Linked DNA regions of Saccharomyces cerevisiae S288C. Changing the gene in region 2 together with the main gene of any one other region gives a genetic interaction. Each region holds a gene or a part of one and is shown on either strand. Other genes may lie near its edges. The genes, in order: PAU7, YMR155W, RDS1 and YPS3.

What was found.
Region 1: mutations in YMR155W (region 2) and PAU7 together harm fitness more than expected from each alone (negative genetic interaction), as found in Saccharomyces cerevisiae (one large-scale study listed by BioGRID).
Region 3: mutations in YMR155W (region 2) and RDS1 together harm fitness more than expected from each alone (negative genetic interaction), as found in Saccharomyces cerevisiae (one large-scale study listed by BioGRID).
Region 4: mutations in YMR155W (region 2) and YPS3 together harm fitness less than expected from each alone (positive genetic interaction), as found in Saccharomyces cerevisiae (one large-scale study listed by BioGRID).

The regions. Positions count from the first base shown.
Region 1 is NC_001133.9:176,280-179,026, forward strand, and holds PAU7 (seripauperin PAU7), read right to left. Parts: upstream 745-2,747; coding exon 577-744; downstream 1-576.
Region 2 is NC_001145.3:566,533-570,694, forward strand, and holds YMR155W (uncharacterized protein), read left to right. Parts: upstream 1-2,018; coding exon 2,019-3,662; downstream 3,663-4,162. Other genes in the region: RIM13 (Rim13p), read right to left, coding at 1-1,650; TPP1 (polynucleotide 3'-phosphatase), read right to left, coding at 3,768-4,162.
Region 3 is NC_001135.5:309,452-313,956, forward strand, and holds RDS1 (Rds1p), read left to right. Parts: upstream 1-1,506; coding exon 1,507-4,005; downstream 4,006-4,505. Other genes in the region: ADH7 (NADP-dependent alcohol dehydrogenase), read left to right, coding at 1-704; AAD3 (putative aryl-alcohol dehydrogenase), read left to right, coding at 4,439-4,505. UniProt on the Saccharomyces cerevisiae protein: Zinc cluster transcription factor involved in resistance to cycloheximide.
Region 4 is NC_001144.5:388,243-392,333, forward strand, and holds YPS3 (aspartyl protease), read right to left. Parts: upstream 2,029-4,091; coding exon 502-2,028; downstream 1-501. Other genes in the region: YLR122C (uncharacterized protein), read right to left, coding at 2,712-3,089. UniProt on the Saccharomyces cerevisiae protein: Cleaves proteins C-terminally to mono- and paired-basic residues. Required for cell wall integrity.

The DNA.
Region 1 (2,747 bases), on a different chromosome or scaffold from region 2:
TCACGAATTTATACTGAAGATTTCCTTCCAGGCGAGAATAATAAACACATATTTATGATGATAACAAGACGAACGTGTATTAAGCTCCCAGTACGAGGGAAGCAGTAAAAATTATCCCAAGATCCATTTAAAATGGATAACTCCACGAGCTACAACAAAATACTAAGGGAATAGGCCGTTATTTCCGTAAAGGATGGTTTAATAATAAGAAATTTATAATATTAATAATACATATATACAAAAATTTATATTTATATACATGCGCCTAACTATTCATACTATTAATTTCATATTATTAAGCTTTTTTTTTTTCATTTATCATTTTTTTTCGTAACCTCTCATACCTGTACAGGTTTCATTCGTAAAGCAGGGACTCTAGTTTGCGATAGTGTAGATACCGTCTACGGATAGAGCACTAGAGATAGCTGGCTTTAATCTGCTGGAGTACCATGGAACACCAGTGATAACTCTGGTAACTTGGTCGGCGGGAATACCAGTCAACATGGTGGTGAAATCACCGTAGTTGAAAACAGCTTCTGCAATTTCAACTGGATAAGTTTCAGTTGGGTGAGCAGCTTAGAAAGAGTAGTATTCAGCCAAATGAGCTCTGATATCGGAAACATAAACACCTAATTCAACCAAATTAACTCTTTCGTCAGATTGAGATAATGTAGTGGTTGCTGCGGCGGAGGCACCAGCAGCAATGGCGGCGACACCGGCAGCGATTGAAGTTAATTTGACCATTGTATTTGTTGTTTTTTGGGTTATTGCTTAGTGATGATATAGGCTTAACTGGAAGGAAAAGAACAGAGAAATGTCTCAAACAAAGCTGATCAAGCCGCTGTATTTATATGAAACTTTGAACAACTACATCTGCACACATGGGCTCTTACTGGTCGCCCATCTCACACTCATGCCTTCCACATTCCACTTAGCGACTAAGTCATTATTACTATGGGGACGGGTTGTTCTTGAACGATGCTATACTTCGTATAGGAAGCCGTTTTTTTATGCCCCATCCTTTCATATGTTCCATAGCACAAGAATGTTCTCTACAGGAAAAGTGCCTATAGGGCTGCAGCTGCAGTTTTGGCCAAGAAATAGAACCAAAGCCAAATTTATTTTGGGCCCTCGTTCAAGGGCCATCTCACCCTTGGCACTAAACGGTTAGTAGGAGGGAAATCGGACTTTTCCCAAATTAGAAACAATGAAAAATTAAGTGTGAGCTCTTAGAGTCGCATCTGCAGGAATATGCACACAAAAAGGGGAGCTGTACGTAAATAATCAGACCACACAAACTATTGCCAACCATTTGATACTCACGCTAGATATGATGGGGGTTCTTGTTTGGACAACACAAGTCTCAGAGCCAGCGTAGATATGCTTGTACATAAATGACGACTGGGGCATCAATTGAATCGGGTTACATTGTGCGAGCTATTACATGAAGAGAATATGCCTTTAGGGTAATTTCCAAATGTAGGAAGTCTCGCTAAGTAGGGCGCCCAAATCTGTATAGCGATGTTGTTGAGGCCATATAGTAAAATGACGTGCCAATTACCGAGCTTTTGATGGAGGTAAAATCTAAGATTAATCTTGCGCCTTGAAACCACTAGAAATGAAAGGAATTGGTGAAAAAATAATCGCGCAATAGATGACATGGAACGACAGAAGTCTTGTATTGTGCACGAATCCGCAATATTCAAAGCCGAAGTTCATATACGAATGCGAACTATTTCTTAGGGTAGCTCTCTGTATGGGCCGCCATAAATTAGTACCAAAAGATAGGTTTTTGAAAAGGCTACAATGTGCTTTTTTCCTTCTTGCTTTCGAGTCCGGTGAACAGAATATTACGACGTCCTTGTATTAAGAGCCAGACCTCCTGTTAGCGTCACTATAAGAGTAAGTCTGAAATACGCAACAACTACAGTGCAATGAAAAAGTGCTCAACTCAATGACAATAAACAATTTAACCATGGCAGGTTAAAATATTACTGCGATCAGTAAAAATGGGGATATCACCTTTTGACACATAACATAGCAATAAAGTAACAGATCATTAGTGATCGGACAACCTGAACCAACGATATAATGTCGAAGCCACCACTACCTTTAAGATTAGTAGCGCTGCAGGGGGAGACAATGAGAGAAATTTCCCGCCACATGAACTGAGTCAGGAGTTTTTTTTTTCTTGCTGGAGAATCATTTAATTTCATGGTTAAACTCCTCTATAAGCATCCCATTCTCCCATGCCTGAAAACACTTTTGTCCATTCGATCCTCATGCAGCCCTCGTTAATATGCTAAAATGGCTCATTAAATTGTAGATTGTATCGTTCGAGAAACGTCAGGCATGATAGATGTTGCAATCACAGGACATTGATTATTTAATCCTGCTCTCAACATGTTCAATAAGTTGAAGAGTTGCTGATCTCCCCGTATATCTTATGAACCAAAGCATGGTGGGTGAATGTTATGGTTATCCTTGTTGAAAAATGATTGATAGACTGGATTGAGCGGAAAAACATGGGTCAATATGCTGATCTTGACATTTTTCAAAATCCACGGGGGATCAAATCAACTTCTTATAGCGTATGACCTCTTTTACATTGTTTAATGATGTTAAGATTGCGATATTATAGTCAGTTAAGTTACTCAAACGCACAGATTTAATAGAAAACTGCGTCTTCGTTGCCTAGTCGATCATAATAAATTCGCAGATTATTTCGAATTTGATCTCCTTCGAAA
Region 2 (4,162 bases):
CATATATTTGACATTAGTTAAGATGGGCACGTCTTGTTTAAGGCCCTGCCCGGGCTGATAGTGGTTATCAAACATTATTGGCTTTATCAATTCATAGTCATTAAAGTAATATACTTGGATGTTAATTAAATCATGTGAGCTAGTTGAGATACATGCGGCGTCCATAAGTACTTGATAATCTTGTTCAGAGTGAACTTCCAACTCAAAAGTCGGATTTTGAAAAAAATTACAAGTATCAAATGAGGCTTTTCCCTCTATTTCATAAGGAAAAGAGAAAAGGACTTTGGCAAAAAGACTTTTTGTATCTTTCAATCTTTGAAAACATATTTCCTTCACAACTGAGAAAGAGTGAATACTGAAATTGTTGTTTGTTGTTGAATAACAATACAATAACCTCTCAGTCTCAGCATCTAATCTCAACTTTACCAGCTGAAGTCCAATGTGATTGCCACCGCATTCTACTGGAGGTTCAATTGGACAAATTATGCATTCGGGAGCCTCATTCAAAAAGGAAACTGACCGATTTTCTTGGCTGCCTTCATCTTGCAAATGGGATTCTAGCAATAACCATACCGTCTCTGTCACTTTAGAATTGTTTACCAGGTGAAATAAAGGTTTATCTGCAACGATAGAAAATTTATTGTAGCGTGAAGTATCGTACCGAAAATGAAGTACCTGAGAACGTTTGAATAATTTTTCTTGGTTCCAATTAAGATAAAGTTGTTTGAAATTTTTTAAATACTGTTCATAGCTGATTTCAACATTTAGTGCCGAGTTCCTCGGATCTCGCAATTTTACTAGCCTAGAATCATATGTGATATCAATTATAGAGTAATCATGGTTCTCAACTAGGGGCTTTATCATGTCATTGGAACGATTCCCGGTGCCAGCGCCCATCAGACATAAATTAGATTTGTGAAACTTCCATAATTTTTCGAAAGGATAGCTGTTTACTTGTGTTATCTCTGGTAAGAAGCCACTTAAGCGGTAAGTATCTATACTAATATTTGAGCCATCCGTGGAATATGTTCCTTTAGAAACAAGCAGTAATGCAAGCTCTCCAATTTTGTCCGAAATATCGTTACTCTTTAAAGAAAGTTGTTTGCCATCCACTGAGGTTGGGATCTGCGAAATATCTACTGTCACTAGCCTTTTGTTGCTTCCGTTAAAACTTAAATTGACGTGATATTTAGTTGATGATATTTGTTTAATTAGAGGGAGATTCAAGTTCTTAGACCTAAGATTAATTAGAGAAGCAACTAATGAGCAATCTGGCACATCTCGGCATTGTTCTATTCCGCCTGAATAGTCTTCTTCATTCTGTAACTTGGCTCTCCCTGGATAACGCCTTTGTAGTTCTTCAGTACCAGGTGCGCAATATTCGGTTTTATTCCAAGAAACCGGTGAGGCTTCTGAGATAGGTATAGGGGGATAAAACCTTGAATTAATAGTTGAAGTAAGCCATAAAAATCTTAATTGTTTATCTACTTTCGACACATTTTCTTTCAAAACTAAAACGGCCTCAATAAAAGTGGAATCTTCGCTTTTCATTGCCAAGCCAACCAATCTATTAATTATACTGCTTGAGTCACCTTCTGCATTACAATATATTGACTTTATCGCGGCATTGAACTCATGCCAATCATTCATTTTTGATACCACAAGGTTCTTGTCTTCGACTGAAATGGTCGAGTAACCGTTTAATAAGTTGTCTAGAGTTGATTATTGTGGTCCGTTTATGCCGACTAAAAGAACATTTAACTGTAGTATCATAAAATCAAAAAGGGATAAATATCCGCAAGAATACAAGAAAGAAGAAGTATATATGTTTTCTTTAAAATTTCAGAGCATAACTTGAGCCATGAAAAACCACTTCTCCTCAAGTTTATGTTGTTCCTCTATTTCCTACAGAAATATATTTACATTTGGTCGATATCGAAGATCTGGAGATAAGGTAAATAAATCCTGCGCGGTTCAAAGATACTCGATAAACAGCAACCAATGTTTCACAGAGTGCCATGGTAAAGAAACACCAAAATAGTAAAATGGGTAATACAAATCACTTTGGACATCTCAAAAGTTTTGTGGGAGGTAACGTGGTTGCCCTTGGTGCTGGAACACCTTATCTTTTCTCATTTTATGCTCCTCAGCTACTGAGCAAGTGCCACATACCTGTTTCTGCCTCAAGTAAGCTATCCTTCTCTTTAACAATAGGAAGCTCACTGATGGGAATTTTAGCAGGAATAGTTGTCGATCGAAGTCCTAAACTGTCCTGTCTAATTGGTTCAATGTGTGTTTTCATCGCGTATTTGATTTTGAATTTATGCTATAAGCACGAATGGTCTAGTACTTTTCTCATATCGTTAAGTTTGGTACTCATTGGATATGGTTCTGTCTCAGGTTTTTACGCTTCTGTGAAATGTGCAAATACAAATTTTCCTCAACACAGGGGTACAGCTGGGGCATTTCCTGTGTCCCTATACGGTTTATCGGGCATGGTGTTCTCATATCTTTGCTCAAAGCTTTTTGGTGAGAACATCGAGCATGTCTTCATTTTCTTGATGGTTGCGTGTGGTTGCATGATTTTAGTAGGCTATTTCTCATTAGATATATTCTCTAATGCAGAAGGAGATGATGCTAGCATTAAGGAATGGGAGCTTCAAAAAAGCAGGGAAACAGACGATAATATAGTACCGTTATATGAGAACAGTAATGACTATATAGGTTCACCTGTGCGTTCATCATCCCCTGCTACCTATGAAACTTATGCATTGTCAGACAATTTTCAGGAAACGTCAGAATTTTTTGCACTTGAGGATAGACAGTTATCAAATCGACCATTGTTATCACCTTCTTCCCCACACACAAAGTATGATTTCGAGGATGAGAATACCAGCAAAAATACAGTGGGCGAGAATAGCGCACAGAAAAGTATGAGATTACATGTATTCCAAAGCTTAAAATCTTCAACATTTATTGGTTACTACATAGTATTGGGTATACTACAAGGCGTGGGTTTAATGTACATATATTCTGTGGGGTTTATGGTACAAGCCCAGGTTTCTACTCCACCCTTAAATCAATTACCAATTAATGCAGAAAAAATTCAATCATTACAAGTAACTCTCCTGTCTCTTCTTTCATTTTGCGGCAGATTATCATCTGGGCCTATATCAGATTTTTTGGTCAAGAAATTCAAAGCTCAAAGACTATGGAATATTGTCATAGCATCGCTTTTGGTATTTCTTGCATCGAATAAAATATCCCATGACTTCAGCAGCATTGAAGATCCTTCTTTAAGAGCCTCCAAATCATTCAAGAATATTTCGGTATGCTCAGCGATCTTCGGTTATTCTTTTGGCGTTCTATTTGGTACTTTCCCCTCCATAGTAGCAGATAGATTTGGCACAAATGGGTATAGTACGCTGTGGGGTGTTTTAACGACTGGTGGTGTATTTTCAGTGAGTGTTTTTACCGATATATTAGGTAGAGATTTCAAGGCAAATACAGGAGATGATGATGGGAACTGTAAAAAGGGAGTGCTTTGCTACAGCTATACTTTTATGGTTACGAAATATTGTGCCGCTTTTAATCTTTTGTTCGTTTTGGGGATAATTGGATATACGTACTATCGAAGAAGAGCAACTGCAAATTCCCTGTAGACGGTGTCATCCTGACATTGCTTTCATATTCTTTTTCACCATCACAAATGAACATTTTAAGAAATATTACTATATACTGGTATATATTCAACATTTTACAACGGACTACCCGTGAAATATTTCCTCAGGGTACTTGAATTCAACGTGCAAGTTTTCAGCAAACTTTATGTCAGAATCACTGAAGTCCTTTTTCCTCCCAGCAGCGTCACCGCAATAATATATCCAATTCAACTTGATGGGAGAAATTTGTTCTGAAACCCTGTATGCACTTTCCAGGTCCCTTTTAAAAAACTCTACCATTCCTGTCATTGGTTTTCGAACTTTTTCGAATATGTTAGGATCATTGTTATAACTTTCACCTAAGCTTGCGAATGTGATCTTACTATGATTTGCTGCAAAAGTTTTCGGCCTTTTAGGTGCTGCATATAGCCATAACCTGTGTGATAACGTTTCTCCTCTCTCATCGTTTTTGATTGCCTTTAAAAATAGCAAAATTTTAT
Region 3 (4,505 bases), on a different chromosome or scaffold from region 2:
ACGGCTACATTTCACAAGGAGGCTTTGCCTCCCACGTGAGGCTTCATGAACACTTTGCTATTCAAATACCAGAAAATATTCCAAGTCCGCTAGCCGCTCCATTATTGTGTGGTGGTATTACAGTTTTCTCTCCACTACTAAGAAATGGCTGTGGTCCAGGTAAGAGGGTAGGTATTGTTGGCATCGGTGGTATTGGGCATATGGGGATTCTGTTGGCTAAAGCTATGGGAGCCGAGGTTTATGCGTTTTCGCGAGGCCACTCCAAGCGGGAGGATTCTATGAAACTCGGTGCTGATCACTATATTGCTATGTTGGAGGATAAAGGCTGGACAGAACAATACTCTAACGCTTTGGACCTTCTTGTCGTTTGCTCATCATCTTTGTCGAAAGTTAATTTTGACAGTATCGTTAAGATTATGAAGATTGGAGGCTCCATCGTTTCAATTGCTGCTCCTGAAGTTAATGAAAAGCTTGTTTTAAAACCGTTGGGCCTAATGGGAGTATCAATCTCAAGCAGTGCTATCGGATCTAGGAAGGAAATCGAACAACTATTGAAATTAGTTTCCGAAAAGAATGTCAAAATATGGGTGGAAAAACTTCCGATCAGCGAAGAAGGCGTCAGCCATGCCTTTACAAGGATGGAAAGCGGAGACGTCAAATACAGATTTACTTTGGTCGATTATGATAAGAAATTCCATAAATAGTCTATATACGTAATATTTTTCAGAATCTCTTAAAATGCATGTCAAATCTCGGAATTTATCATGACCCATTACATAACAAGAGAAAAGTGGTTTGCATTGTATGTATACCTTAAACCAATTCTTCGGTAGTCACATGACCTATATATAGGGACATTCATTTCTTGAATAGGATATTTCTTAAACTTAAGGGAAATTTTGATGAAAATTTAGAATCTCTCGACAACAGTGCAGAGCAGTAAGTTTTATTCAATACGAAATGTGTGCAGGGTTTTACCCATTCATGTCGAGTACGTCTACATTTGTTCTGCGATTTAACTTAATACTTAGCCTACTCATATGTATCGAAGCCAAACTATTAAATCTGAAAACTGAATACCCATTAAGTAGGTACATTAATGCAATTTTCGTCCGAAAGGTAGAGTGTTAATCATGCTTTTACTTCGAAATCTAGAGTCCGAGCATGTCTGATGAGGTCCTCTTAAAGCACTTCAATTTTAAAAGAGAAGAGCGCAAATTTTTACAAAGAATGCCTATATTAATATACTGTGCTATCTAAGAGGATGGTTCAATGGTTTGAAATGAGTTGAAAAATAAAGATTTACATAGTAGCGTGTATTCTTCACATTTTTGCATTCGGTAGATTTTCTACTCAAGACCCGTGCAGATCACTATTACACTCATTATTACAAGTCATTGAGAACGAAATTTTGACATCATTACTAATAATGTTACTCATTAATACTTTATTAATGTAAGCGGTAGATAAACAAATGAACATGAAATTGGCTGCTGAAATGCTCTGATGGATTCGATTACAGTAAAAAAACCTCGGTTAAGATTGGTTTGCCTGCAATGCAAAAAGATCAAACGGAAATGTGATAAACTGCGGCCTGCTTGCTCGCGATGCCAACAAAATTCATTACAGTGTGAATATGAAGAGAGAACAGATTTATCTGCCAATGTTGCAGCAAACGACTCTGATGGATTCAATTCCTCTCATAAGCTCAATTTCGAACAGCAACCTGTACTTGAAAGGACTGGGCTTAGATATTCCTTACAAGTGCCTGAAGGTGTCGTTAATGCTACGCTGTCGATATGGAACGCCGAAGATATGCTAGTTATAGTAGGATTAGTTACATTTCTGGATTATCCTTTTGCTGCGCATAGTCTGGCGCAACATGACCAGTATATCAGGGCACTTTGTGCTTCGTTGTACGGCATGGCGCTTGTTGACTTTAGCAATTATGCTAATGGTATTCCTTGTGAAGACACATCAAGAAGTATACTAGGACCATTGTCATTCATAGAAAAGGCCATTTTTAGACGGATAGAACATAGTAAGCAATTTCGAGTTCAGTCTGCCGCCTTAGGGTTATTATACAATGCATTTTCAATGGAAGAAGAAAACTTCTCGACTCTTCTACCGTCACTCATCGCTGAAGTGGAAGACGTGTTGATGCAAAAAAAAGACTGTGAAATACTTTTGAGGTGTTTCTATCAAAATATTTATCCCTTCTATCCTTTTATGGACATTTCACTCTTTGAGAGCGATCTCACTAGTTTGCTTTTACAAGACGACAATAATCGTTGGAAAATTAGTACTGAAGTTAAAAATGTGCGCAAAAAAATAGAAACTTTGTCATTACTTACAATAGTAATGGCCATGGCCTTGATGCATTCAAAATTGGATGCAAATCTTCTTTCAATGGTAAAAGAAAATGCCTCCGAAAGTGCCAGGAAACTTTCTCTTTTATGTCATAAACTATTATGCCTCCTGGATGTATTTCGCTATCCAAATGAGAACACTTTTACTTGCCTTTTATATTTCTACGTTTCAGAGCATTTAGATCCCGAGAGTCCCGATTGTGTACTGAGCCCCACTAACTTGCTTACTCTGCACCATCTTTTAAATTTGTCCATGACCTTAGGTCTTCAATATGAGCCTTCGAAGTACAAACGTTTCAAAGATCCAGAAGTGATAAGGCAGAGACGGATATTATGGTTAGGAGTTCAGTCATTACTTTTTCAAATTTCTCTTGCTGAAGGTGATGCTGGTAAATCAAATAGTGAATATATGGAGGCATATTTAACAGACTTCGAAGAATATATTGAAGCTTCCTCAGAGTATGAAAAAAGTTCTGCGAGTGAATCGAACGTGCAAATGAATGATATTGTTTGGAATAAGTACAAATTTCACGTCATTTTGAGTAAACTAATGTCTGATTGCACTTCAGTTATACAACATCCGCAGCTTTTCCACATTTTAGGAAATATTAAAAGATCTGAAGATTTTATGGCTGAGAACTTTCCTACAAGTTCGATTTACCAACCCCTTCATGAAAAGGAACCAAATGCGATCAAAGTTGGCAAAAGTACGGTTCTCGATGTCATGGATATTCAAAAAACTGAAATATTTCTTACAAATATTGTGGGAAGTATGTGTTTTTTAAACATTTTTGATGTCCTATCGTTACATTTTGAAAAAAAATGTGTTATGCACTGGGAAGAATATGAAAAGAACTATCATTTCCTTACTTTGAAAAGTTTCAATGCATACTTAAAGCTAGCAGGGTTGATATCTGATTATCTCGAGAATAAGTTTCAAGGGAACATTTTAGAGAGTCGCGGTTATATCATAGATAAACAAATATGTTTTATGCTTGTAAGGATCTGGATGTTCCAATGTCGTATTTTGTTAAGGTTTTCATACAAGCAAGAAAGTCAGAAAAAATTGGCCTCTTCCAGTATATCCACTAACGATAATGAAAAAGAAGATGAAATGATTGTCATTTTAGAAAGACTTATTAAACACATTCGTAACCAAATGGCACATTTAGTGGATCTAGCAAAGGGAAAACTTCAAGATAGTTACTTTGGTGCTTACCAAACTGTTCCCATGTTTAGATACGTTGTGTATTTGATCGATGTTGGCGGCTTAGTATCTGTGACAAATGGGTTTTGGGATAAGATTTCCAGTGATGGTGAAATACCGCCAAAAGTACAACAAGCCGTGAGATTGAAATGGGGATTGGACTGCAATAATTCGAGAAGAATCAAACAAAAGTTAATAAGCAGCCAGAGTTTGCAGAGTTTCAATCAAGTTCTGTTGTGCCAGATGGAGGATGCAGTTCTCTCCAGTTCCTTCGCAATAAAAGCCAATACCGCTATGTCCCAAAACACGGCTGAAGAATTTTTCAATATCAGCGAAGAAGAGGCTTTAAATCAACTATTGGAAAACAACAATTTTGATGCCTTCTGGGATTTATTAGGTGAAAATCTGAGCGATATGCCTTCTTTGTGAGAATACGGATATTTGGAAAGGCTAAAAAAAAAAAAACAAGCCAAAAACAAGAAACACTGTTATCCTCCACGTTTTTTCCACTGTTTTAAGACTCGACAAGACGGAAAGATTCCTCACATTTCGCAGTGTTTCTTTTAACCTGCTCGTCAATTTGAAAAAATGAGCATGGTTAGGCAGGCGGAATGTAATAGGTGCGGTGCGTATAAATAAGTATCTCGGCCGTTCCTCTATTGCGCTCGGCCGAGATGTCCTACATGCATAAAATAGATTAAAAAAAGGGATCACGATACTCAAATATGCATATAATAACAACAACACACTTTGCGGTAAATAGAAGGATAATATCGTAATCTTTTGCTGGTTTCGATGATGACTTGAAAAAATTCAATTACTCTTTCGATCATCTAGAAGAAGCATATCCATCGTGCTTAAAATGATTGGGTCCGCGTCCGACTCATCTAGCAAGTTAGGACGCCTCCGATTTCTTTCTGAAACTGCCG
Region 4 (4,091 bases), on a different chromosome or scaffold from region 2:
ATATGCTTGGTGTTCACCTTATCTTTTTATTACGCTATGTATTTTAATATACAGAAAAGCCAATTGCGTTCTTCTTAATAACCGTCCAATTGCGGAAATAGGAACAAATGCAAAAAGAAGGAAAAAAGTAAATCCTCTTTGACACCCTTTTCTTAAGTAGTCGGATTTCCCTGTTTCTCCATAAATAAGTCCACGAATTTTTTTATGAAACCTCAATTTTTTCGGACACATCAGTGAAACGAAAACTACTCATGGCGCAGTATAAAAGGAGCGAAAAGCCACTCAGTTGAGTGGACGAGGGAGGTGAGGTGGTGACAGAAAAGAGGAGGAAGGAGGCAGTGCTATGTGAGGGTGTCTTGGCTGCATGCAAGGTCTGACGATCTAATTGACGCGTCAGAACGTGTGTTTTAGGAATATTCTTATTTAAGTATGCTTTTCCTCTTGAAATCGCGCAAAGAAGGAAAGGAAAAAGTGTCTATATATAGTGTCTATTGTTTTTTTTTACGAAAAGAAAACGGAAAGGATGAGTAAGGAGGGGACTAGCAGTAAACCCAAGGTAGAGCGTATACTGGAAGCGGAGTTGGTAGCAGCCCTCTGGAGTGCCCTCTTGCTTTTATGAGTCGACTTTGCAGTAGTGGTAGAGTTTGTCTTCTTGGTGGTGGTTGACCTCGTAGTGGTGGCAGTACTGGTGCCATTGAAAGTGCGCACGGTGGTAAAAATATTACCACCGGACGTGGCGGAGGCGTAGTTAGACCAAGTGTTGTTGTAACTGGGGGCCCTTATTGCACTGGGAACGGTAGATTTGATGACTTCGACGTTCTCTTTCCCCGTGCCATACTTGGCTTGAGCTAGGGAAATCTCGTAGTTATCCAAATCGTAGACCACGTAGGCGTTTCTCAAGAAGGAATCACCAAGGATAGCGGTGGCGTTGCCCGCTTGTGGAATTATTGCCAAGACACAGGTCCCCACACTGGTCTGCATAGTAAAGTCGGATAGAGGAGCGTTGATACGGAAGCCACCGAAGTCGAAGGCCACGCTGGTTTTGTTGTCGCTCGAGGGACACGTGTACTCATAATAACCCAATGTCTTGGAATACGAGGCATTCAAGCTCTTTGCTAGCAAAGCCACTGCCTGGGAGGGCAGATATGTTAGCGTTGTGCCTGAATCGAGTAGGGCTGGGAGCTTGGTGGTGGTCAATGTGATGTTGCGCTTGTCGGTTTGCAGTCCTAAGCCCTGTAAAGTGACATCGAACGCCACCGGGTGCTGATAACCCTGCGACTTATAAAGATTAACCAACGGGATAGTGTACAGTTGGCCCTCGTACTTGCTGTGATCTACAGCGCCGAAGAGGATGCTGCCGGAGGACTGTGACTCGTCATTTAGGAAAAGAGAGTATGCGGTTGCATCGATGGCTCCAGAATGTTTTAGGAACAGGGGAAAGTTATCATACTCGTAGCTTCTCTTGTCCATAATAGCGACTTTTCCAGAATAGGTGACTTCAAGCGTGGAAAGGCCGATCCCGAGCACACCAAAGGTTGAGTTAGATTCGTTGGCCACGGCAAACGATAGACCACTGAGGTCTAATTCGTTGTACTTTAATTTATCTTGACCAAATGCACCTTCTGCATAGGTTCCGTCACCGTAAGCGGCATAAAAAGGCGAGGACTTGTTGGCTTTGAACGTGGACGACTTGGTCTTGTCGAACACGCCATACTGGTCACAGTCCATCACAGAACCGCAGTAGGGGTTTCCCTTGCCAGGAACCCATAAGTCAGCTGAGCCTGTGTCTAACAGCACAGTGAGGTTTTGTGAAGGTGTACCAATGGCTAGCTCAACAGAATAAAAGCTTTGCTCGTTAGCTAGTACAAATTTTTCATGGCCGTTCGATCTCTTGCTGAGTTCACCATTGTCGCCGTTCTTTTTTTTTGTGAAGGGAATCTTGACGTATTTCCCATCGGGAAGTACTCTACCGAATGCCGGACTAGTTAAGACTGCTAATGTAGCCACTGCCGCCAATTGAAGTTTCATTTTTCAATGCCGAGTAATTTTGCTCTATTTATCCTATATAAATTCACAAACACACAAGTTAGCGGCTACAGATATTCATATATAATATATATACGTACATATATATATTATTATGGCGTCCAGCCTTCGACCACACAAGTTTCCTTTTGAGGCTTATAGTTCTAAGTTCTTCGCTATTTTTAATTTCTTTTCCGCGAATAGTAATCCGATCGCCAATAATTTCTACTACAAAGGAAGCGCGAAAAAAATAAGAGATATTTTCGCTATTTCTTTTGCCTGTACATGGCCCGGCCCCAAATATCCGATTCTCGTTTCTGTGCCGGATTCCACTACCACGAGACTCAGAGCCCTATAAGCCAGGAGGCCAAAAAGCAATCTCCATTACCAACAATATCGCGGTAGTGAAGATTTGTATGTATATTGAATGCCAAGACAAAATGGTGGCCAATTCTGCCATTCCGTCATAAGGGATATTGAATTTTGCTTATTTCATCACCCCACGCCATTGTTTTGTCCCGCCCGGAAAAACTCTGCCAAAAAAAGAGTACATTTCTGGCCCATCTCCGCACTAATTCCCCTTTCCTTTAAAATACGCTGCTTATAGGCGTCGAATGGAGAAAAGGTAGTGAGTGATTCCTCACCCTCCACTCAGACGTTTCTGATATACAATTGGGGAAAGGGGTTCACACACAGCAAGCCGGTATGTTACAATTGTATTTAGATAAGTTTTTCGTTTGAATGCGTTGAAAATTACTTGCGCTAGCTTCAGCTGATGTGCCATGTAACGCCGTTCTATCCACGCTAACTTCAATAGACTTCAATAGAAAGCAAATAGTTATATAATTTTTCATGGACGGTCCAGAGAATGCCACAAAAGTGCGGCCATAGAATGAAGACTGTATGAAAGAGCGCCATTGTCCCCACGTGTAACTGGGGCGAAGGGCAGGAATTCTGAGAGCAAACTTTGCTTCCAGCATTATGTAAAAAATCGAAGCGCACAATCGGACGCAAACATCTGTGTAGACGTAGAGAAACATGCAGTTTTGATATAGACGATTCATGTTGATGACGAGCAAGGCAATTTCGAGATTTGACTACTGAAGAATTTCTGTTTAGGAGCCGCTTTTGCATTATCATTGCCCTATTACGAGCCCAGTTAATGTTGGTTCGCCTAGTCTTGGGATTGGGATATAGGGTTAGGACGAGTCGATCTTAGTGGTACAAAGGAACCTCTCATCATCCTGAGTCCATTGTCTGCGTTTTTTCTTGAAGCTGAATATAATGTTGTAATTTGCTCGTTCTAGCAACTTCAGCGAAGCCAGTCTTCTAATGACTCCGCTGTTCCCAGAAAGTGTGAGCACTTACATATATGAATACAGCACTATCTGGAGAAGTGGCGCGCTCTTAATTAAAATGATGCAGCGTGTTATCACATCTTGCGTTACCGGGCCTTGCAAAAATTGCTATGTTTTTCTTGTGCTTGGTATTGCTTCGTGGAGATATATATTCTCATATCAGGACGGAATTTTACAAAGTGAGAACTCTAAATGGTGTAGTAAAGAGAAGAAAAAAAAATGCTCAGCGATTTACCCTCATTACAACCACCGAGATTCACTAGGAAACGGAGCTGTCCCTCGGAATTTATTGTCAACATATCATCCAATGTTAATGTAGAATGAGTTACCGTCTGTTACTTTTGGGACGGTTTTTGCACTAAGAACAGACGAGTTTACGGTTATCCTCAACAAGCAAGCAAGTATTTGCTAATCTAGATGCCATTCCGAATCATTACTCATACGTTACTATTGAGAGATGTTTTACAATAGATGAGAAGAATACAATGTCCAGAGCTCCTGGTATGCTAGAGTGCATATTCCAGGTCTTATTCGAATCATATCATACCGTCCATTTCAACAATGGTGAAATGTGGTCCACATATATCAGAAATCTTAACATTTAGTGAGGAGAGCCAGTAGAAAAATGTGCGCAAGCGGAAAGAAGTCATTCACAGACACGTTTAACAAAACACCACCACAGCAGCTTTGTCTCTTGATTCTGATCAG